Schizosaccharomyces pombe: one gene and its partners. The protein of the gene in region 1 purifies or fractionates together with the protein of each later gene. This does not show direct contact. Each region holds a gene or a part of one and is shown in the gene's direction. Other genes may lie near its edges. The genes, in order: yth1, swd22, ysh1 and cft1.

Region 1 (4,579 bases):
TTTTTTGTATACTCAAAAAATGTTGGTGGATTATACATGTTATATCTAAAACGTATACGAATTTTAGTGCGTAGCAATCATTGTTGCTGTAATGATAGATAACAAGCGCTATGGATTACGGTAAATCTGTAATTAATTAGACTCTGAGTATAATTTTAAAACAGTAATTAAATGTTTGTGTATTTTAAAATTAATGTAATAGTTAAACTATATTAGTCTAATTTTTAAATGCCTATCATTTGCACTATACGTATATCAACTTGATTAGCTCAACCTGTGAGATAGAAGGGTATATTTTTTTAACGATTTCAGCGTTTTACTTATTTTATTGCAGTTACGACAGTATTTAATAATAATTAAAAGAAAGGCGGAATCTTTCAATGTGCTAAATATGCTTCAGTTATCCCACCTTATCTTGTAAGAATTGTAAATCAAGATCTAGTCACATAATGAAAATAATATCTGTTTTATTAAGGCTGCAGGCAGAGCGCACCAAGTATTTAAACTAATGTATTCGTAATCTATAAGTCAATTTCTAACTCAATATCTTAACTCACACCAAAAACCCATCAAAGCTTAATATAAATCTTTTATCTTTTTTCTATTAACCTGATAGCATCATTCAAGCTTCTTTGAAAGTAAATTTTAGTTTTTAAGTCATGGAACAAAATTCTCTAGAGCACAATTCATCACTCTGTGACAATTCATATGATAAATTTGTCAAACAAGGAAAAACGTATGAAAGTAAACAGCACGATTTAGAGGCTATACGTCCAGTTTTAAATAACGATACATGTCTCCTAGAAGATAAAGACTACCGCATACAATTACGCTGGAATTCTTCTCTTTTGCCAGTCTTAAAATTTCGCTTATTGTTAGATTATCTGCAGTATAGCATTCCACAGAAGATTCCGAAGATATACTGTTTTTTATAACTTCAGGTTCCATTGATTTAATCCAGGGCATCCCACTTACTGAAGAAAAATTTGTCGCTATAACGGTATCTCCTTTACGAAGAAGGATTTTCATAATCCCAGTAACGTCTTTTGTGTTAGTGAAAGCTACTACCCATGATACTGATTTATTGTGCTCACGTCTTTGCGAATTTACAAATTTCGCAAGCTCAATCGCAGCTTCTTTATTGTGTGCTCCGTCAAATAAAATATCACCCAAAGAAGGAACCGAACGAATGTCAAGCCTTCCAGGCCAAGATGTATTTTTTACACCATTTTGTACATGGGGAAGCATAATTGAAAATGACGAAGAAAGGATATCGAGAGCAGTTACTGCACAAGCCAAATTTTGTCCTTGATAATCCCCCTTCAATGGAGTACTAAAAGTATTGGTTCCCCAATTTGGAGTATTGATGATCCACTCATTTTTGTTTTCACCTGATTTTCCTTTTGCCAAATAAAACGGATGTGCCCTCGTTTCCTCTGCACTTAATTTTAATTGATTTAGGACGTTAACTTCATTTAACCCATCAACCACGCACGGAACATTCTTTTTAAAGATCCCAGCCTTTTCTTTAGCAATAGCCTCTAAGGTATTTCCTAAAAATGCTTGATGGTCCAAGCAAATACGTGAAATTATTGAAAGAACTGGTTCTTCAAATACATTAGTAGCATCCAAACGACCACCCATTCCTGTTTCAATTACAGCCACACGAACACCTGAATGATGAAAACATTGGAACGCAGTAGCAGTTAACAATTCAAATTCCGTCGCTTTTGTACGAAATCTTCTATCCACTTCAATCACCTGCTTCCAACAAGTATTAAATATCTCTTCACTAGCAATCTGACCATTTATGCTTATGGTATCTCTTGGCTCTAAGAAATGAGGACTTGTATAGCGTCCTGTTTTAATAGCAGCTTGCAAAAGACTCGTGTATATATAGCTACAAATGCTACCTTTACCATTAGTCCCAGCAATTTGTACAGCACAAAACGATTCCTGTGGATTGCCAAGGTGCTTCAAGAGCTGTAGCATACGCTGAAGACCTAGCTGAATAGGCATCCTACGTGAGCGATAGTAAAGGAGGAATTTTAATGCTGTATTATTAAAAAATAATGATTCTTTACCTTTATAAGCTCGTAAAAACTTTAAAAGTACTTGGTCATGTGAATATGTTTTGCATGTGGAAGCGAAGATAATACGTTTTCTGTTGCAAATTAGTATGTTAGTAAAATTCTCAACAGAAGCAATTAGTTATGTCTCTGACGAGGTAAATTTTAGATAAAAAGAATATGTTTTATAAAAGTTATTTTATTCGTATGCTGCATAATATCATTCTTTACTTAGGTTTCAAACATACCTATGAAGAAAACCTTAAAACAATAGCGATTTCATGAATATTATAAGAATAATTTAATTCGTTCTAGTTTAATAAGCATCATTTATAGTATGTGAATGCCAGTCAATAAAGTATTTGTGATATTCAAGTCAACTGAACAACGTTGCCTCCGCCATCTACTGGTTACTACAAAATGACTGATTATATCAAAGATAAAGCTATAGCAGCTGATTTTTCTTCAGTTCAATTTCGTTTTGATAACTATTTAAAGCAAAATTTTAATTTCGGAAGGTCTGCCTTGCTAAACTCTGGAAATGGACGCGATTCTGGATCGAAAATGGGTAGCGTGGTTTGCAAGCATTGGTATGTATATATAAAGAAGAGTAATATGAATATATATTTCATGTATTTTTCTATTTGTTTTTGTTTCTACCTTCATGATAACTAATATTATATAAGGCTTCGTGGACTTTGTAAAAAAGGTGAACAGTGTGATTTTTTACACGAGTACAATTTAAAAAAGATGCCTCCATGTCACTTTTATGCAGAGCGCGGCTGGTGTTCTAATGGCGAAGAGTGTTTATATCTCCATTTGGATCCCAGTAAACAAGTTGGTGTCTGTGCCTGGTATAATATGGGATTTTGTCCTTTAGGACCTATATGTCGAGGCAAACATGTACGAAAACCAAGGCCTTGCCCAAAATATTTAGCTGGGTTTTGTCCGCTAGGCCCTAATTGCCCAGATGCTCAGTAAGTTTTTTGAAGAATTATAGTGTTGACTTTCTCTTTCTATTACTAACATGTTCTAGTCCTAAACACTCTGAACCTCCGCATCCTCCTCAAAAGCGGAAAGACTGGTAAAGGATGCGTTTTTTAATGTGTCACTGTATATTAGGTAATGAAATCAAGTTATCAATGGAGTATATGCAATTAGTGATGCCGTACATTGATTATTGAGATTTTTTTTTATGGAATAAAATTAATTATCGACGTTGGGTTTGTCTTGGTTGCGGCGAACCAAATCGACACATAATCGGGATAATAGAAGTATTTAGAAACCGAAAAATAAGTTTTAAATAATAAGTCTCCCTTTTACATATGTTTTTTGCAACATAGAAGGAAAAGAAAATTTAGGAACTTAAGTATCGTTTACCAGTATGTAAAACGCTTACGTAGAGCGCCATCGTAATGTATCAAGGACGGTTTATTCATTTAATCATTCATACGTTATTCGTAAAATATTTGCTACTTTCCAGTTATGTTTCTTATTTTTTTGTAATTTACTTATCTGCTGTATTCAATTTTGCAAACTATAAAAACAATATGGATCTTTTATATGACAATGAACTTCTAGTTTTTTATAATCAAAAACACCTTTCTTTAGCGTACAAATGATTAAGGTTTCATTAATGGGAAATTGCCAACAAGTTTTACACTGGACTTTGTAAAGTTGAGCAAAAAATCCTATGTGTAGTAAAGCGTAAGATGAACACTGAAGTAATGAAATAGTGTTGTATTTATCAAAAATCCATTAATAACTTAAAGTCGCTTAAGGCTTGATTTACCGATAAAAATTTTACTGAGCTTTTGACTCGCCGAAGAGTGGTGTAGATTCGTTAGGGTAGCAGCATTTGATACGAACCATCAAGTTAGGAAAATCAGCAGCCCTCCAAAAAAGCCAGTGAAAACTGGGAAACTTTGTATCAAAACTTTTGAAAAAAGATCCAAAGACGGTATAGAGATACCCTTAGAAATTTGAAGATCAAGATCTTCGTATACAATTGAAATTGGCAAAGTGTACCAACGGGAACGAAATCTTAATATAATACGAGTAGAAGATGGATGATATAGAAGACTCTTTGGATCAGTGGAAATTTGCCCAGTATGTAAACGATGTGTGAAAAAAATTAATGACTAACTCTTTAGATGCTTTGGTGACAAGGGTGATGTGGAAGACATCACTGAAGGTATTGGTTTTGAGTAGTTCTCTCATAAAAGAGTTCTCTTTTACTTTAATCACTGAATAAATGACTAACAAGTTTAGCCGATATCATTTCAGCAGTAGAATTCGACCACACAGGTGATTATCTAGCAACCGGCGATAAAGGTGGCAGAGTCGTTCTTTTTGAGCGAAATCATTCGAAAAAGGGTTGTGAGTATAAGTTTTTTACTGAATTTCAAAGTCATGAACCCGAGTTTGATTATCTCAAGTCCTTAGAAATCGAAGAAAAGATCAATAAAATTCGCTGGTGCAAGAGGACTAATCGAGCGCATTTTTTACTC
Region 2 (5,153 bases), 1.2 Mb from region 1:
CGATTTCGAAACGCTTCAGGTTCCCTGGTATTCAGAGCTCAATTATGGCTTACACCATTTCAGTAACGTACGAACTTTATCCTGGTGCCGTACCTCAAAAAGAATTTACCCCTATGTTAAAGCAAAGTATTGAATCTCCATTTGAAACAAAATATCATGTGAATATGTCAAATACAGAACTTTCTGTTCACGGGATATCCCCATTTATGGAATTTTTTGGTAAGGAATCAGAAAAATCTTTAACTCTCGAATTCTTTTTGAATCCTGCTATCTATAAGTCGGTTTATGTTTCAATACAGCCAAGTTATTACAGGAGCGCTGGGCGTCTGCTCATGCGTTACAGAACATTACTTGCTTCCTTTCCTGTGGTTGTAATTAGTTTGGCAGCTTACAATCAGTTTAGGTATTTTCATTACGGTTCTGCATACTTGAGTATGTCGGCTGCACTTGAAGTCATGATTCGCAAAGGACTTATCAAACTCCTTTTTTTAGTTTCGATCTTGTCAATTGCATTTTCATATTTAATTAGCAGAGTAGAGTTGATTGTTGCCGATGGTGCTGACCCTGTCGCCTCTTGGAAAATATTCGCAATGATGGTTCCAAAATCTTTCTGGAAACAAAATCATTTACTTTTTGGACTACAGACTGCTCAATTTTGGTTCCTCGCCCCGCTGTTAACTTTAATGTTTGTTGGCTTAGTTATAACAGCCAGTGTTATTATACTCTGTGTCATGCATTTATTAGCATTCATATATGGTATCTACTTGCGTTATAAAGGTTTGACTTTTACTGGTGTATGCCAAGCTGTGAAGTTCTCCTTTCAATGTCTGAGAACAAGAAATACTAGAAAATTGGATCATGGAGAATTTAAAAAACTTTCGAGTTTTCTATCTCAGAGAAATATGTATTATGCAAACCCTTCTCTCTGTTACGTATATGGAAAGAAGCATATGCAAGCTCGGATAATTGGCATCATGTTATTGTTGCTCATGGCAATGACGGTGGTACCCTTTCAACTTGTTTATGGTGTTGCTTTATGTACCCAGACAGTAACTACTGCTAAAGCTTTACACTTGGCCCGATTTTGCACCAAGTCAAGCCATTACCGAAAAAAATTGTGGGATTTCTACAATTTCTCTTGCACGATAACAATACTGATGTTACTCTTAGCTCCTTTGGACTTTCCTGTTCTCATTGTTTGGGCTAGAAATCTTTCCATGCATTGGTCTATTCCTTTCCCCACACATCATAATTTCTTCTCAATTATCCCTTTTATATTACTCACCGAAATTTTACGAACAGGAAAGATGCTACCTCGTTTGAACGACGTGGAGTACTACATAAATAACGTTTTTTTGTTTCTTCTGTCTTTCTATTCATTGATATATGGAGCTGAAAAACCATACCTCATTCACAATGTAGTTGGGTTATACTTTTTTTGGCTTTTATTTTTGTATGCCAAGAATGGTTTTTTTGTACAAAACATTTCGAAATGGCCGATCATTCCTAGAATGAAGTATTTTATTAAGCACAAATTTTTGCGATCTATTTCTTAATGGAAACTTGTAACAATATTATTTAATTCTTTTCTCTTTTTTCTTTATTCTCTCTTTTATATTACATTATTTCCTTTATTTTCACACTGTTGAACACTTATCATACTTTAATTTTCAAGATAGAACTTCGTTTTTATTTGGTAGACATTCGTTCATTGAATTTTATTTCTATTTATTACCTTGAATAATATCTCTTTACAAAGTTTATTGGTTTATCAAAGACTGAATAACTCACATTAGCATGATGGAAATAGAAAAAGATGAATTAATATATGAGCTGTCATCAACAGTTAAGAGATATTTTTTGATTTTTGTAGACCAACACTAAAGGTACTGGCCTTTCTTCCGTACGTGATAATGGCTGTAATAGTTCAAATAAGGAAACATAATTCACTTGGGAAAATTCCTGAGATAAAGGCACAATATTAGCGGTTGGCGAAGGAAGCTTGTAAATCTGGCGCACACTCAGGTCGGGAAAAATAGCCAAAGCTTGGTGATTCCAAACAAATTGAAACATGTAGCTATGAAATCCGTCAACATATATGCGGCATAAGGCAAGAGGTCTGTTGCTGATGGACAAAGTCTTCAGTGAGGATGATGTGAAAGAACCCAAACAAGCCAAAATCCCAAGAGTATCTGTTGGATAAGATGACAAAGAGCCTTCAAGCTCTCTAACAAATCTGGGCCCTATTGATCCCTTGTTAGATTTGCAGGATACGACAACTTTGGTGGGCTCAAACAACACATTTTTAATCGAAAATTGGCCCACCAAATCCACCCCACCATCGCCCTTTCCACCACATCTTTCAAGCTGAAAACTGTGTTGCTTTAGCACATACTGTACCAAGTATTCAAACAAGGTTCCTTGGGCAACAGTATTCGACGTTGAAGGCTTCTGAACACTCAAATGTTCTAAATAGGAAACAAGATTGTTGTGTGTGACAGACAAGTTTCTAAGGCCTAAAAGGCCTCTGTTCATGAATGAAAAATTTCTACACCGATTGAACCCTGACTTTAAAATCCACATCACGCTAGACAGAATGCGAAAGACTTAAACAGTATAAAGTTCAGGATAAGAAATGAATTATGCAAATATTCATTCCCTTCTAATTCGAATAACAACGACTGAGGATCGAAAGTAGTTATTTAAATAATTTTTGCTGAATTTTAGAAGTTCGTGAATCACGCCGTTCCTTAGTAATTTTAATTAATCTGTTAACGGTTTGCAAAAGCAAATTCGCGATATCTAAGAAAAATTTATTCAGAAAATAACAAAAATACAGAGCTTTGAGGATTACAAGCAAGCGACAAAATAATTGAAACTGGTTCTGCTGTATTTCATGGAATGATCCAGCTTCCTTGGTAGCTTTGTTTATAAGTTTTCCTTAATAAAAATTTACTCTTAAATTATATTTGATAATATGAAAGTTTTGATAACATCACGCCTCCATTTCCACAATATCAAGCCTTCAGACTCTTTTATTAATCAAGTGTATTTTTGGTGGAGAAATTAATAGCCTGTTAATTTTCAACTTCACTATTCTTTTTAAAAGTTTTCGAATTGTAATTTAAAACTGTATACTAAAACGTGCTACAGTTCGTTAAACACGTTGTCTGGCACTACTCTAATTTTGTGGAATCACAAGTAAACAAATGCAAGCAAGGGCTTAGCAAAGTAGAAAGGCCCTTAAGGGGATATAAAAGGAAATTCAAAGAGAATTTATATATTTTATTTAATTCTCAATGGATATCGGCATACTTTCGAGTTTAAAGCCTGCACAGTCGTTTCGTGATAACTCATTAGGAAGCTTCATTAATAGCATTGATTACAGTGATTCTGGAGAGTATGTTGCAACGACATGTTCTGCCGATGACACAGTCCAAATATATGATGCTTTAGATCCGAAGCAAGTCCATACAATAACTTGTTTCGAAACCGGCATAGAAGTTGCTCGTTTTACACACCACGATCATAATCTACTTTTGTCTACCACAAAGGGGAATAAGGATATTCAATATGTTTCAATTTATGACAACAAAAGAATATCGTACTTCAGTGGGCACACGGACATCGTTTCATCCATTGAGGTTTCTCCTATTGAAGACCAATTCGTTAGTACGGCAAACGACAAAACCTTGAAGCTTTGGAAAATGAATCAATCCTCGAGATGCCTTGGAAATTTAGATCTCCCATCCCTTGGAATTCCCGCTTATGATCCCACAGGTCTTGTTTTTGCGGTTGCATGTCATTCACTGTCACGTATCTTTCTTTACGACGTGCGGAATTATGGTTCTGATCCGTTTTCAACATTCACAATAGATGACTCTCGTTACTTATCAAGGTTTTCGTTTCCCCCCATGATGCCTGAGTGGAAACATATGGAGTTTTCCAACGATGGAAAATGTATACTTCTCTCAACTAGAGCTAATGTTCACTATATACTTGATGCATTCAGCGGGGATGTTTTATCTAGATTAGAGGACTTCCAAGAATTGCCGTTCTCCAACAATTTTCACGGCGGCTCAACCACTTTTGTACCTCAAGGTAATTTTGTCATAGGATCTGCTGACGACCGTACCCTGAATGTATGGAATTTAAGACATACCTTTCACCATAAAGGAAAAACAAGACCTCCTGAACATCGTATTGTTTCTCAGTCTATAATTAATCCAGGTCTTGTTAAGTATAATCCTAGGTATGATCAACTTTTGACTGCAGGGTCCCAACTCGTTTTTTGGCTTCCCGAAAAATATGCCTTAACATCATGATTATACTGCTAAAGCATACCGTAATCTTCTCCCAGGTTTTAATTATTATATAATCTTATTTATGTCTTCAACAACTACCTATACGTAAACCTGAGGAACCTGTCATTTCAACAAATGAACTAAAAATTTTTAAAATATAAAATCCTCATAAATCTTTAATTGATTTTTCATATTTCCCGATCTTAATTTTCTTCATGCAATGTTAGAATTTTTACTAATACCCTTTTTATTAAAGGATTCGCTAGAATTCATTGATATATGAATATCAAGAAATCAAACTTTGCGATAAGCAAAATAATGTTAATACTATTCTATCTTTTGACATATACCATGTTGACATTGTATAACGCATACGTATGCATGTAAATGACTCCTAGATATATCTGTTTTCTTATTCCTTCAATCCACTGTAATTAAAAAAAAAGATTAAATTAAAGAAATCCCAGGTAAACGGGAAAGCGAATTGTTTAGGTGCTTGACATAGTGAGATGACTCTTACCAGTTGCTTTAAGTGTGATCGGGGATACCACTGTTCGTCACAATACTCACGTGTAATATACATTGAACTACATTTATAGAAGTTGCTTCACCTTTTTAGCATTTTCTAAATAAAATAGAAATGGAGCCTTCAATAAAGTATCCCATCTATGGTATGCCGTTCAGTTGCATAGTTATACTAATTTACGAAAGAATGGGAACTTTTACAAGACACTTATTACCAAAAGGTACGTCAGAATGGAATTTGTAACAGAGTTAAAAACTAATGTAACTAGTCAGCTATTGGAAAGGCGGAATGGGAATATATAGATCCTGTTGACTTTATGTTTG
Region 3 (6,502 bases), 3.1 Mb from region 1:
CGGGATAGTAGCAGATTCTTCGACACCAGCAACATGCTCAACCTGATCTTGCTCACGATATTTAAGTTTTAATTCAGCAGCAGCCTTTTCTATTTCATCAATATCATCATCAATGTTTTTGCTTGATTCAAGTCCCTCCAATTTCTCATTATCAGAAGATTGATTATCTAAATCACGCTTTCCAGTGACTTTCTTCTTCTTCTGCTGCTTTTTCTTTTTCTTTTTATTTTTTGCTTTCTTATTTGTAGAGACAATTGGAGACTCGCCTTCTACTAATGGTTCATCCTGCTCTTCCTCAGAAACACTTTTTTCTGCCTCTGAGTTAATAGCATTATTTTCTTTTTCGAGAATTTCGAACACGTTTACTACTTTTTTCCCGGAAGTTGAAGAAAACTCGTCATCCTCATCAGATTCACTGTCTAAAGCTTCTTCCAATAGCTCGGTTTGTCTTTGACGCTGAAGTTTCCGTAAAGCTCGTGAAGACATGAGAATGGTTTGTGGTAGACTAGAATGGCAGATGTAAGAATTTAACTCAGACCTATGAAAACACACCTCAATTTCAAGAACTTTTCGGTATGCTAAATTAATATATAACATACAGAAAATATTTCATTTTAAGACTGTTAGCAGTGAAGAATATTACGTTTCGTAGTTAAAAGGCGTTAAGGAAAATACAAGCCGGGAGCAACAATGATGTACAGAATATGTAATTAAAATCTAAGTAATAGAATTTTGCAATTGTGGGGTGGTAAACCGTTTTTACATATTTGTGGTTCATGGTTTATTGGAATTTTTGCTGATCGCAATAGGTTATCAGCCAAATGAAAATTAGAGGGGTTATTAATACAAAAAACTGTTAATGCAAATTTAGTATTAAAGTGAGAATAACGACCGTGTTACCTTTTTGTATGCCTATATTACCAGAATATATTATAAAGTAGTAAATAAATCAAATTAGTATTACCAGAGAAAGGAAAACATATTACTTTTTTAACATACGCCAATAATTCTTTTCTTCTTCTCCGGTAATTAGCTCAGCAATCAGGAATGGACGGCTAGATCCCTTTTTCCTATGTGCCCGAATATCATCATGACTGTTTTGTTTCCTTTCTTGTGTACGAAACGCGTTGATACACGTCTCAGCATGAAGCGGTGTTTTCCAACGTATTATCGCCTCTGTTTCGTCCTTCCTATAGTCTATATACATGGGCTCACATGCAATATTCTGAGTTTGCCGCGAAAAAACATAACTCAAGAGGCTGTGAATAGTAGATTTATTAGTTAAAGGATGGAGGTTCTTGATACGGGTCAAAAGATTCTTGGTAAAATCCAAATTATCTTCATCTTTATCAGTTTGTGAGGTTTTGGATACAGACTTGGTCATTTGTTTTTCTACTTTAGTAAGTTTGGGATAACGATTTTCAGGAAAGGAATTGGATGAATTTGAAACGTCTGAAGATGACGCTTTTACTAAATGGAGTTGATTTTCAAAATATTTTTCTTCACGATTTGTCCATTCTTTACGAGTCAACAGTACCCATCCAGGAGGGACAGGCAACTTGCTAAGTGCTGATTGATCAACCTTTTTGTACAAAATTACAAAAGCATAACCTTCAGGAGTACCGATAGCATCAACATAGGGAAGGAACTCTTTGAGGTATTTGCGAAGTTTCCCAGCCAAAAGTAAACTTTTATTAGACAGAGTAGCCGGAACTGGTTCAACGTAAATAATTCTATCATACAGTGGTATGTCAAGAGGAAGAACAATATTCTCATTTCTAATAACCATGTGTGAGGAATTATCGAAATGAAACAGCGCATTAGTAACATAAGATAAAGCATACTTCAAGTTATTTTGCGTTGGATTCGGGCGGATTCCTTTCCAGAAATCATCTTGCTGGATTAAAAAGGCCAAGTGCACTTTTTCTTTTTGCCTTTCTCGGTGAAAATAAATTTCTAATATAGAATCAACGGCTGATAAAAAGTCAGGATTTAACGGTTCAATAAGCTGTCTATCTTGTTGATTTAACATGAGTCCTCCGCTTATGGAATGACTTGGTTCTTTGCTGGCTTCATTATGTTTGTAATGCTCATCTTTCAATTTGTTGTTATTTCCATCTGCAATAGAATTATTTTCCTTCCCTGTAAATGCTTTAATTTTGCGAACATTCAGTTGCCTTGGCACAAACATTTTACTTCGCTCCTTAAAGTACGGTTTTCTAGTATCAATTAAAGTGAAGTCATTAATAATAAATAGAATTAGGTGCTCTTAATTAAAAAAAAAAGGGTTGTAAATTTTTGTTCTGCTTTCTCCCAATTTATGTTGAATGCGTAGGTGAAGAATAACTCGCGCTTGCCCAGCACCCACGACCTTGTCTTTCCAATTGTGGTTTTTAGACAAAAGCCCTTGGAAAGATGTCCAAAAGAAAGGAATTTGATGAAGATGCACCTGTAGACCCATCCGTAAGCCTTGAATTTACGATTTTTTATAAGGGCCTACTTTCTAACCAATGTCAGGATTTACTGGAGTTTATTAACTTGGGAGCCGGAAATGAAGTTGGTCGCAGTTGCCATGTTATTCAATACAAAGGGAAAACAGTAATGGTATTTTAATTTTTATTTTGTTATGATTGTGAATGCTAATTTTTGCTAGCTCGATGCCGGTGTTCACCCTGCGTATACTGGGCTTTCAGCTCTTCCTTTTTTTGATGAGTTTGATTTGAGCACTGTAGATGTACTTTTAATTAGCCAGTAAGTCCCTTTTGTACCACTACTTGAGACGACCATAGGTTATTAGATTAGAGTACTTCTTGTACCAATTACTATTATGGTCCCTTAGGCATTGATTCATTTTTTTTTGAAAAGTATTTCTAACTTAAGCAAGCTTCCATTTGGATCATGTAGCCTCGCTTCCCTATGTTATGCAAAAGACGAACTTTAGAGGTCGTGTCTTCATGACTCATCCTACAAAGGCAGTTTGCAAGTGGCTTTTATCTGACTACGTGAAAGTGAGGTATGTATTCTTAGCTCTGAGTATTCATTAACAACTCGCAGTAATGTAGGCATGGAAGATCAGCTTTACGATGAGAAAGATTTGTTAGCCGCTTTTGATAGAATCGAGGCTGTTGACTACCATTCAACTATAGAAGTTGAGGGTATAAAGTTTACACCCTATCATGCGGGCCATGTTTTGGGTGCCTGTATGTATTTTGTGGAAATGGCTGGAGTCAATATTTTATTTACAGGCGACTACTCACGAGAAGAAGATCGCCATTTGCATGTCGCTGAGGTTCCTCCTAAAAGACCAGATGTGCTGATCACAGAATCCACGTATGGTACAGCATCTCACCAACCAAGACTGGAGAAGGAGGCTAGACTGTTAAATATTATTCATTCCACTATTCGCAATGGAGGGAGAGTTTTGATGCCTGTCTTTGCTCTTGGAAGAGCTCAGGAGTTATTACTCATTCTCGATGAATATTGGAATAATCATCTCGATCTTCGCTCAGTCCCTATCTATTATGCATCATCGCTAGCGAGAAAGTGTATGGCCATTTTTCAAACTTATGTTAACATGATGAATGATAATATTCGAAAAATTTTTGCCGAACGAAATCCGTTCATCTTTCGTTTTGTCAAAAGTCTAAGAAATTTAGAAAAATTCGATGATATTGGCCCTTCTGTAATATTGGCAAGTCCTGGTATGCTACAAAATGGTGTTTCAAGAACCCTCTTAGAAAGATGGGCTCCTGACCCTCGAAATACGTTACTTCTTACTGGTTATTCTGTTGAAGGGACAATGGCAAAGCAAATTACAAATGAGCCTATTGAAATTGTGTCACTTTCAGGCCAAAAGATTCCTAGAAGAATGGCAGTGGAGGAACTTTCTTTTGCGGCTCATGTTGATTATCTTCAAAACAGTGAATTCATTGACCTGGTAAATGCCGATCACATTGTATGTTTAGTTACTAATGTAACGTTAAAATTAACTAATTATAGATTTTGGTGCATGGTGAGCAAACAAATATGGGTCGATTAAAAAGTGCTCTAGCCAGCAAATTTCACAATAGAAAAGTCGATGTCAAAGTATATACCCCTCGAAATTGCGTACCGTTATATCTTCCTTTCAAAGGGGAACGGTTAGTGAGAGCTTTGGGAAAGGTCGCTGTTCATAAACCAAAAGAAGGCGACATTATGAGTGGAATTTTAATTCAAAAGGATGCCAATTATAAATTGATGTCAGCTGAAGATCTTCGAGATTTCAGTGACCTTACTACCACCGTTTTAACCCAAAAACAAGTCATTCCATTTTTTTCGAGTATGGAGCTTGCAAATTTCCATTTAAAACAAATGTTTGGATATGTCAAACAGTCAAAAACAAAGGCAGGACAACCTCAATATACAGTAATGGACGCCATTACTTTGACTTTAATCCAAGAACATAAGCTTGCTCTTGAATGGGTTGGCAACATTATGAATGATACAATAGCTGATTCAGTAATTACTATTCTACTAGGCATTGAAAGCAGTCCTGCTTCTGTCAAGTGTAAGTCTGCGTTTAATGTGGAACAATTTCTAACCATTAATAGTGACGAGCCATAAATGTAACCATTTGCATTCGCATTTAGATAAGCCTCCAAAAGTATCAAAGGAGGAAGATCGTATTAAAAAGCTGATGATGTTTTTGGACAACCAATTTGGCGAAAGTATGACTAAAACGGAAAAGGGGGTTGAAATCAAATTTGAAAAATATGAAGCGTCTATTGATTTTTCGACTATGAAAGTTGAATGTTCAAATGAAGCGTTACGATCTAGAGTCGTACATGTTTTATCCCGTGCGATCAATACTATCCTTCCATTTTCTGAAGCTTCACAAAACGACGTCTCCGAAGATGATTTTGAAAATGAAGAATCTGACGATGATAAAATCTTTGAGCAGCAAACGAAAATAGAAGATGATGTTAAAAATGAAAATAAGACAGAACCAGTTGAAGAACAGAAAAGCGAAGAAAAGAATGAACAGCCCAACCTTAAGAAAGAAGAACTTTCTTGAAAATTATTTACGAACGAATCTTTGCCTTTCATAGCCATGACACTTTTATGGCTACCTTCATTTTTTGCTATTTAAGTCTCAGTAGTTATCATGCACTCTGGTATTTCTGTTAAAAAATGCTGTTTCTTAGTCATGCGTGATCGAATCTTTAATTTATTCTTGCCATTTACGTCAAAGACAAACAATTTAATAGCCATTCCAAAAAAATTGACTAGTACTTAAAAAAATGCTATAACTATTTAGATTTTTGTAAGGAAAACTTTTTTTGTAGCTATTATGAACTCCAAAGACACTACCAATCGGGTTAATTAAGCAAATTTTTGTACCGACTACCAACACCAACACCACAATGTCCAGCAATAAGCTGCCCACCTCTAAGTATGACTTGTCCACCTATTGGGGACGTGTTCGTGTATGTTATATTACTCTTTGTATTTATGCTAATGCGGCAGCACGCTATGGATATTACTGATCCAAGGTAATTATAATTTAACTACATGATCGTTTGAGCACCTAACATCTGTAGGACACTTCTCTCTACATCTCAAGATTTAAATAGCGCCGTCAAAACTCTGGAAGACTATGGAGCGGGTAAAATTGCACAATTAGATGAAACGGTTTGGCATGCAAAGAAAAGTATGTAGTTATACGATACAAATCCGATCAAATGTTATATTATTTGATTAGTTATTTTTTTTGTTATTAAATATATTTTCAAATTAAAAAAAAAAACATATTAACGATTTTAGTTGTTGATTCAACTTTGCATCCCGATACTAAGGAACCTGTTTTCTTACCATTCCGAATGTCATGCTTTGTCTTGGTAAGATAATACTATTTAGTGACTAAATGCTAATCATTAGACTAATTTGGTCGTCACAGCAGGTATGCTGCAACCAAACCTTGGTACCGCTGGAACCGTTTTTTGGCAGTGGATGAATCAATCTGTAAATGTAGCTTTTAATTCTGCAAATGCAAATAAATCTACGCAATTGACTCTTCCGCAGATGACTAAATCCTATATTTATGCTGTTAGTGCAAGTTGTGGTGTTGCTATTGGTCTCAACAAAATTGTGCCTCGTATGAACTTTCTTTCTTCTTCGTCCAAAGCGGTACTCGGAAGATTGACCCCTTTTGCTGCTGTTGCTTCAGCTGGTGTTTTAAATGTCTTTTTGATGCGCGGCGAAGAACTTCGTCAGGTATGAGTTTTAGCCTAAGTTTATTTATTCTGGGTACAAACCTATGTATTGAAGTTTCATACATTGGTTTTGTGTTTTTTCATTCTTTACTAATGTTTGTATAGGGTATCGACGTTTTCGATAAAGAGGGAGAATCTTTAGGAAAAAGCAAAAAGGCGGCGTTTTATGCTGTTGGAGAGACTGCTCTTTCCCGTGTAATCAACGCTTCACCAATTATGGTTATCCCTCCTTTAGTCTTAATGAGACTACA
Region 4 (8,278 bases), on another chromosome or scaffold:
AAGATATCGCTACTAGATTCCCTAAATTAGATTTTGTTTACCTAAATGCTGGTGCTTGGGACCTGGAAGGTATTCAATGGCTAAAGGCTATCTTTTCTACTTTGATCAACCCTATCCAGGCACTGACGCATCCAACCTTTTACAAAGAGACTGCTGGACGTGTGAGCAATGACTCCCTCGGTTACATATTTGAAAGTAATGTTTTTGGTCATTTTTATTTGGTAAGTTTTTTCACCTTAATTCCGTATGTTAGTACTAATTTACATAAGAAAAATCGCCTGGCCGAACTAAAAGTGCTCCGTTCGTCAACAAAGGTAGTCCTTACAAGCAGTTTAGTAGCAGAAAAAAAATCCCTTGATTTTGAAGACCTACAATGTTTTCACGGCGAGCAACCCTATCAATCTTCAAAGCGTTTGTTAGATGTGTTACACTATGCAGAACTTGAAAAGGGACTCCCTTTTGAACAATACCTTGTCCATCCCGGACTATGTACTACTAACATGTATGAAACTTTCCTCGGTCCTATATTGGTTATGTGTGCAAAGCTCGGTTTCTATATTTGTCGCTTACTTGGAAGTCCTTGGCATACAATTTCTCCATACGTTGCTGCTTTTGCTTTTCTTTGGACTGCTTTACATGCTACCAAAGAAGATCAATCTATCAAGTGGGGAGCAGCCGTGACTCGTTTTGGTCATGAAAGAGTCCTCTCTACTCCTGTGGAATTAATTTTGCCTTCAGAGCAAGAGAAAGCTTTAGAATATATGACAAAACTTTACCAGGAATGGAAAAAGAAGCTGGTTTCGTAAAGGGAAACATTTACATATTCTCTTGCGCGGAGGCCTTGATAAAAATCTGGAGTACCAGTTAATTTTAAAGTGCACGAGACGAGGGGAGTTATGAAAGAACAATCCCTGATTCATTGCATTCTCAGTAAAACATTTTGAAAATTGCTTTTATCAAATTTTGCTACAATCGGTATAGATATCTTGACAAAATGAATAGATAAGGGGATTTTAACCAAGTCTGGAATATAGTTTATGTCTCAATTTAGTTAATACAAACATACGAATTTATTAGAACCTCGGACTCGGAAAAGTTTATATGAAGAATTCCGCGAGTTGCCGTCTTTGTCTCATGCTAGCTATAAGACCGCATTTCGTAAATTGTGTATCTGGATATATTTTATCAACCAGCAAAATTAAATTATGAAAAATAGCAATAATTCAAGTTATTAAATTTTTCTAATATTACACTTCGAATTGAAGGCTTCCTCATTTTGTTCAGCTGTTTGCTTTCTACAGGCATGAAAACAGGAAACATAATTAAACAGTACCTCAATTATTCGAAGATTAGCCTTCACATAACAGTTTATGTGATGGTACGATAATTTTAGTATGATAATTACGAGCTTGTAGATTCCACAGGAACTGCAGCAAATGCATCCTTAAACGTGTTGGTATCGTACTTACTCAGAAGTTTACTTCTCTATACAACTTTCACCAGACACGATCTGCCTTCCTTTTGAGTTAAAAAGAGGCCATGGTACTTCATCAACGTTTAAAAAGCGAATGGTCATATATAATACTTGAAGTGTAAGGAAGTCTGGGATAATTTGTTTCACTGACATACTTAGGGTTGGAGGTACTACCCCTATAGATGAAATAGACGATATTTCTTTACGACATCTCATCACATTAGCTCTAAATCAGTCATTTGGAATATTTGGGTCTGCAATTCCTATTGATTTTTTGCATCGACAATCAAAATTTTTGTATCTAAGGTGCCATAAAGAGTATGTCAACTACTGTAATTGTAATGTGCTATTTTACTTACTGAACAATAATAATAGGGATAAAAAGAAAGTCCTTGTGGCACTCGGATCCTATGTTCGCGAACCTGAACAAATAAGACTTATGGTATTACACGCTTCAGACTTTCCTTGTCAAGCGGTTCCTTTTTCATAAGTAAAAAGGATTGTATTATTATTATGTAAATTACTAGTTATTTAAAATGAATTGCTTTTAAAACCTACTTGTAGATTTTGTACACTGTATTTGGACGCGTCCAACTCCTTACTCTACCTCATCCTTTCCAGAAGCTCAACGTCCCAGTTGAAAGGCACATTTAATGTGGTATTTGCTTTATGTCAACCATATTTCAAGACCTAGTGGACTCTACAGTTATAAAAAATGCTGTCCAAGGCCAATTTACTTCTCTTGTATCTAATAACCTAGTGGTAAGTAAAGTGAATTCTTTACACCTTTTTGAGATTGAAAAGATTCAAAAAGATGAATCCAGTTTCCCATTAGATGATTCCTTGCAGAATGAATTCTCCACCAGCATAATCGATGAAAGTCAGGCGTTCATGGAGACAAATATGCATCTCATACGTACCAATGAACAAACTACCTACGTTCTTAGACTCGTTTCTCAAGTTAAAGTCTTCGGGACTATAACGGAAATATCGGCTTTGAAGGGAAAGGGAAGTAATGGGTGTGATTTGTTAATTATGCTTACCGACTATGCAAAAGTATCTACGTTGGAATGGGATATGCAAAGTCAGAGCTTCGTAACTAATAGTCTTCACTATTATGAAGATGTCAAATCTTCAAATATATGCTCCTCTCATACCCCTACACAGCTCTTGGTGGATCCGGATTCCGACTGTTGCCTATTACGATTTTTAACTGATATGATGGCTATTATTCCATATCCAGCTAACGAAGATTTGGATATGGAAGAGGCTGCTATAGAAAATTCTAAAATTTCTTCATCTTATGCCTACAAACCCTCCTTTGTCTTAGCTTCTTCTCAACTGGATGCTAGTATTTCACGAATTCTTGACGTTAAATTTCTATACGGATATCGCGAGCCTACACTAGCCATTCTATATAGTCCCGAACAGACTTCTACCGTTACTTTACCATTAAGAAAGGATACCGTTCTCTTTTCATTGGTAACTTTAGACTTAGAGCAACGCGCTAGTGCCGTTATTACTACCATTCAATCACTTCCCTACGATATCTACGCATCGGTTTCAATACCTACGCCTCTTGGAGGTTCTTTATTGTTGGGTGGAAATGAGCTTATATATGTTGATTCCGCTGGCCGGACTGTCGGTATCGGCGTAAATTCTTACTACTCAAAGTGTACTGATTTCCCACTTCAAGACCAGTCTGATTTTAACCTGGAACTAGAGGGGACTATTGCCATTCCCTTAACAAGTAGTAAGACTGAAACTCCCTTTGTCGTATTGGTGCACACGTCCGGTCAATTTTTTTATCTAGATTTTTTACTTGATGGTAAATCAGTCAAAGGACTGTCATTACAAGCTTTGGATTTAGAAATTAATGATGACTTTCTTAAATCAGGAATCACTTGTGCAGTGCCTGCTGGCGAAAATCTTGTTTTCTTAGGTAGCCAGACTACTGACAGTTATTTGCTTCGTTGGTCTCGGCGTACTACTAATGAGGAGGTAAGATTGGATGAAGGAGACGATACTCTTTATGGAACGAACGATGCTGAAATGGATGATATGCTTGATATTTATGAAACAGATGAATCCGTGGGTTCTAAAAGGAAGATTGCTTATGAAAACGGCCCGCTACGTCTAGAAATATGTGATGTATTGACAAATATTGGTCCAATTACTGACTTTGCCGTTGGAAAGGCAGGATCGTACTCCTATTTCCCTCAAGACAACCATGGACCTCTGGAATTGGTAGGTACAGCAGGAGCTGACGGTGCTGGCGGTCTTGTTGTTTTTCGGCGAAACATATTTCCATTAATAGCCGGTGAATTTCAATTTGACGGCTGTGAAGCACTATGGACCGTTAGTATTTCAGGAAAGCTACGAAATATGAAAAGCAGAATACAAGCTCAATACTCAAATCCCGAGTTAGAAACTTATCTTGTACTTTCTAAAGAGAAGGAGTCGTTTATATTTTTGGCAGGTGAAACCTTTGATGAGGTACAGCATTCTGACTTTTCTAAGGACTCGAAGACACTTAATGTCGGCTCTTTGCTTTCCGGTATGCGTATGGTTCAGATATGTCCTACTAGCCTGCGTGTATACGACTCAAATTTACGTCTTACTCAACTTTTTAATTTTAGCAAAAAACAAATAGTCGTCTCAACAAGCATTTGTGATCCTTGTATAATCGTTGTCTTTTTGGGTGGTGGAATCGCTCTTTACAAAATGGATTTAAAATCCCAAAGGCTGATCAAAACGGATTTACAAAATAGACTTTCGGATGTTAAGACAGCTTCTTTAGTTTCCCCTGATAGTTCTGCACTTTTTGCAAAGCTTTTTACCTATAACGAAACCCTTAACGCCAAGGGTCAAATAGCCAATGGAATGAATGATTCAGCTTCTGAGACAGATTTGGATATTCAACCTAACCATAAAACAAGTAATAATGATCAAATGGGGTATGATCAGTCAGTAAGTGCTGATGATGTTCCTGAGGTTGACAACACCATCGTCACTGAAAAAAATGTTAGTAATTTAGATCAGGAGTCTCTGGAAAAACATCCAATATTATTTGCTTTGACTGATGAAGGTAAATTAAAAGTTTACAACTTGGCAGATTTTTCCCTTTTAATGGAGTGCGATGTTTTCGATTTACCACCTACATTATTTAATGGGATGGAATCAGAGAGGACCTATTTTAACAAAGAATCCAGTCAAGAACTTGTTGAATTACTTGTAGCAGATTTAGGTGATGATTTCAAGGAGCCACATTTATTTCTCAGGTCAAGACTAAACGAGATTACAGTCTACAAAGCATTCTTATATTCTAACACTGATAAGCATAAAAATTTGTTAGCTTTTGCTAAAGTACCACAAGAAACAATGACAAGGGAATTCCAAGCAAATGTTGGGACTCCCAGAGATGCAGAATCTACAATGGAGAAAAAGGCTTCAAGCTCTGTTGATCATTTAAAAATGACAGCTTTAGAAGTAGTAGGCAATCACTCCGCAGTTTTTGTAACTGGGCGGAAACCCTTTTTAATTTTGAGTACTCTTCACTCAAATGCCAAGTTCTTTCCTATATCCTCCAACATACCAATTTTATCTGTTGCACCTTTTCATGCACACCATGCGCCACAGGGTTATATATATGTAGATGAAAACTCATTTATTCGCATTTGCAAATTTCAAGAAGATTTTGAATACGACAATAAATGGCCTTACAAGAAAGTTTCTTTAGGAAAACAAATCAATGGAATAGCCTATCATCCTACAAAAATGGTTTATGCTGTTGGAAGTGCCGTACCGATTGAGTTTAAAGTAACTGACGAGGATGGAAACGAGCCTTATGCGATTACTGATGACAATGATTATCTTCCAATGGCCAACACCGGTTCGCTTGACCTTGTTTCCCCCTTAACGTGGACTGTTATAGATAGTTATGAATTTCAACAATTTGAGATTCCCTTATCGGTTGCTTTGGTTAACCTTGAAGTTTCTGAAACAACTAAACTGAGGAAGCCATATATCGCTGTAGGGACCTCTATCACCAAAGGTGAAGATATTGCTGTTCGCGGATCTACATATTTATTTGAAATTATTGATGTCGTGCCTCAACCCGGGCGACCAGAAACTCGTCATAAATTGAAATTAGTGACTAGAGAGGAAATTAAGGGTACAGTCGCGGTGGTATGCGAAGTTGATGGGTATTTGTTGAGTGGTCAAGGCCAAAAAGTAATTGTACGTGCTTTGGAAGACGAAGACCATTTGGTTGGCGTTTCTTTTATTGACCTTGGGAGTTATACATTGTCTGCTAAATGTTTGCGAAATTTGTTATTGTTTGGCGATGTCCGACAAAACGTAACGTTTGTCGGTTTTGCCGAAGAGCCATACAGAATGACTTTATTTTCTAAAGGTCAAGAAGCGCTCAACGTATCTGCTGCAGATTTTCTTGTGCAAGGTGAGAATTTATACTTTGTAGTGGCCGATACATCTGGAAACTTAAGATTACTTGCATATGATCCTGAAAATCCCGAATCTCATTCTGGTGAAAGACTTGTAACACGTGGAGATTTCCATATAGGAAATGTAATTACTGCTATGACGATATTGCCAAAAGAAAAAAAGCATCAAAATGCCGAGTATGGTTATGATACGGGAGATGACTTCTCTTGTGTAATGGTAAATAGTGATGGTGGACTTCAAATGCTGGTTCCGATTTCTGATCGGGTGTATCGTCGTTTGAACATTATCCAGAACTACCTTGCCAACCGTGTTAATACGATAGGCGGCCTAAATCCCAAGTCCTATCGTCTCATCACCTCCCCATCCAACTTGACTAATCCAACTCGACGAATTCTCGATGGTATGCTCATCGATTACTTTACATATATGTCAGTTGCTCATCGACATGAGATGGCTCATAAATGTGGTGTTCCAGTATCCACTATTATGAATGATCTGGTAGAGTTGGATGAAGCTTTAAGTTATATGTAATTGGGCGTAGTTATTTAAAAATTTTTTTTGCATATTTTTGAAACTAAAGGATACCATGATCTATAGCAGGATGCACTTAACAAAAACAACATAAATGATGGCAAAAGTAATAATGCAAATATTGTAAAAGGATGCTTTCATTATTAGTGTTTGAAGCTCATTTTCTCGCGAAGATTGACGTACCATATGATTTGGTAAAAGAGTAATTTACTTAACATTAGTATAAAAGCATCCTATACTTTGTATATACATGTTTGTTGACAAGGATATGATGAGTACAAGGTATGTTAACCACTGATCATTTTTACAGGCTAGGATCCTTATATATAAATACCAAATTCATATACGGTCAACGGCTTGGGAATTTTCAATTTCATTCAACCTGTGAATAGGTTAGCAAACGCTTTTATGCATTTCATTACCTATTATTATTCCTCTATGTGTTTATCTCCCAGGATAGCAATATGCGATAATTCTGACAATTATCGTGTATATACAAACAAAATTGTTAACTTGTATAAATGATCAAAATTATTAATAAAATAGATCAATTGAACATACGTGCATCATTTAATTAAGCTAGGTTATTTCATCGAAATTATTATACTATACAATATTTTATTTACATAAGACATCAATAAGTATTACAGTAAACGCACCTACATAATATTATATATGGATAGCATGAAAAATCAACGTAGTAATTTGGTATTCATAAAAAGACCTTAACATACCGTGTAGCTAATAACACAGTGCAATGTATTGTCCTGTATATTTCAATACCTTCATCTCCGTTATTCAAATACGCATAAGGTAAATCTGCATCACGTAGTAAATTGGTGAAAAGAATCAGTTAGTCATTGCTTTTCTCATATCCATCAGTCTCTCTTTTTTTAATGTTTCGGATTATTAGCAAAGCAACGTTGTTTCAAGATTCACAACGGTTCCACACTTCTATACTGTCGCCCAGATGTGCATTTCATAATGGTGGAATTTTGCATAAAAAAGCTAAGGATAAAGATGTTAAGCATGATCACGATCCAGAATTTGCTAATTCATTTAATAAAATGTTGAAAAGCTTTGAAGCAAAAATGCAATTGGTTCACGAAAAGTTGGCTAAACGATTTCAAGAGGCAGTTGTTTTACCGAGTCAAGGAAATTTCACTCAACTAGAAGCACTTTTCATACCATCCAAAAGCATAAAAGCTCCTACTCCTAGTCGTCTGCTTCGAGAAATTGCAGCTGTTAGTCAGAAAGGTTCTCAGCAAATTATTATTCGTCCATTTGAAGACGTTGACATAAAAAACATCCTAAAAGCAATTGAAGATAGCAGATACCCGTTTGTAGCTAATAAGCTGAATGCATCAACAATTGAGGTGAAGCCACAACGAACCACTTTAGAAAGTCGGCAGCAGTTGGCCAAAGTATTAGAAGGATACGCAAAAGATAGTCGAGAACAGCTGTCTGCAATGCGAACTGAATTAAAAAAAGAGATTGCAAAAAATAAGAAAAGTAAAGCTTGGACGTCCGATGATTGTTATAAAGCAGAAGCGGAAATGCAAACAGCTTTTAAAAATGCCATCAATTTGCTTGATAGCGGTTTGAAATCAGCTTTGAAAAAGGTAATATAATCTCAATTACGCCAGATTTAATATCTCTTTGTGATGTATATTCATTTCATAGTAATTTTATAAACACGACTACATTATGTTTTCGATATACCGAACAAAATTGTTGAGTAAACTCAATTAGAGGTAGCTAAAATGAATGTGAATCTATTATTTACCGAGAAAACAGTTATTGCCTGAA

The links.
Region 2: the proteins of yth1 (region 1) and swd22 purify together in Schizosaccharomyces pombe (affinity purification with mass spectrometry; 2 studies listed by BioGRID). This does not show direct contact.
Region 3: the proteins of yth1 (region 1) and ysh1 purify together in Schizosaccharomyces pombe (affinity purification with mass spectrometry; 2 studies listed by BioGRID). This does not show direct contact.
Region 4: the proteins of yth1 (region 1) and cft1 purify together in Schizosaccharomyces pombe (affinity purification with mass spectrometry; 2 studies listed by BioGRID). This does not show direct contact.

Annotation. Positions count from the first base shown.
Region 1 is NC_003424.3:509,247-513,825, reverse strand, and holds yth1 (cleavage and polyadenylation specificity factor complex subunit Yth1), read left to right. Parts: upstream 1-2,461; 5' UTR 2,462-2,489; coding exon 2,490-2,659; exon of another isoform or gene 2,660-2,755; coding exon 2,756-3,046; exon of another isoform or gene 3,047-3,105; coding exon 3,106-3,157; 3' UTR 3,158-3,416; downstream 3,417-4,579. Other genes in the region: fol3 (folylpolyglutamate synthase), read right to left, coding at 766-2,019; serine/threonine protein phosphatase PP2A regulatory subunit B-55 Pab1, read left to right, coding at 4,135-4,178, 4,223-4,263, 4,341-4,579. UniProt on the Schizosaccharomyces pombe protein: Component of the cleavage factor I (CF I) involved in pre-mRNA 3'-end processing.
Region 2 is NC_003424.3:1,687,063-1,692,215, forward strand, and holds swd22 (Set1C-histone-H3K4 methyltransferase complex subunit Swd2), read left to right. Parts: upstream 1-3,203; 5' UTR 3,204-3,299; coding exon 3,300-4,325; 3' UTR 4,326-4,653; downstream 4,654-5,153. Other genes in the region: bst1 (GPI inositol deacylase), read left to right, coding at 1-1,556; SPOM_SPAC824.03C (uncharacterized protein), read right to left, coding at 1,840-2,583; HOPS complex subunit Vps16, read left to right, coding at 4,945-4,975, 5,016-5,050, 5,099-5,153.
Region 3 is NC_003424.3:3,619,558-3,626,059, reverse strand, and holds ysh1 (cleavage and polyadenylation specificity factor complex endoribonuclease subunit Ysh1), read left to right. Parts: upstream 1-2,349; 5' UTR 2,350-2,415; coding exon 2,416-2,463; intron 2,464-2,517; coding exon 2,518-2,604; intron 2,605-2,650; exon of another isoform or gene 2,651-2,653; coding exon 2,654-2,751; exon of another isoform or gene 2,752-2,884; coding exon 2,885-3,013; exon of another isoform or gene 3,014-3,054; coding exon 3,055-3,955; exon of another isoform or gene 3,956-3,999; coding exon 4,000-4,546; exon of another isoform or gene 4,547-4,589; coding exon 4,590-5,053; 3' UTR 5,054-5,299; downstream 5,300-6,502. Other genes in the region: protein Rqc1, read right to left, coding at 1-486; pof8 (LARP7 family RNA-binding protein Pof8/Lar7), read right to left, coding at 983-2,191; sideroflexin Fsf1, read left to right, coding at 5,403-5,465, 5,506-5,531, 5,580-5,689, 5,803-5,876, 5,917-6,252, 6,357-6,502. UniProt on the Schizosaccharomyces pombe protein: Component of the cleavage factor I (CF I) involved in pre-mRNA 3'-end processing.
Region 4 is NC_003423.3:1,111,196-1,119,473, forward strand, and holds cft1 (mRNA processing protein Cft1), read left to right. Parts: upstream 1-2,074; 5' UTR 2,075-2,143; coding exon 2,144-6,469; 3' UTR 6,470-7,033; downstream 7,034-8,278. Other genes in the region: erg27 (3-keto sterol reductase), read left to right, coding at 1-221, 270-806; RNase P and RNase MRP subunit Pop8, read left to right, coding at 1,540-1,592, 1,634-1,792, 1,850-1,964; translation termination factor Rrf1, read left to right, coding at 7,366-8,100. UniProt on the Schizosaccharomyces pombe protein: RNA-binding component of the cleavage and polyadenylation factor (CPF) complex, which plays a key role in polyadenylation-dependent pre-mRNA 3'-end formation and cooperates with cleavage factors including the CFIA complex and NAB4/CFIB.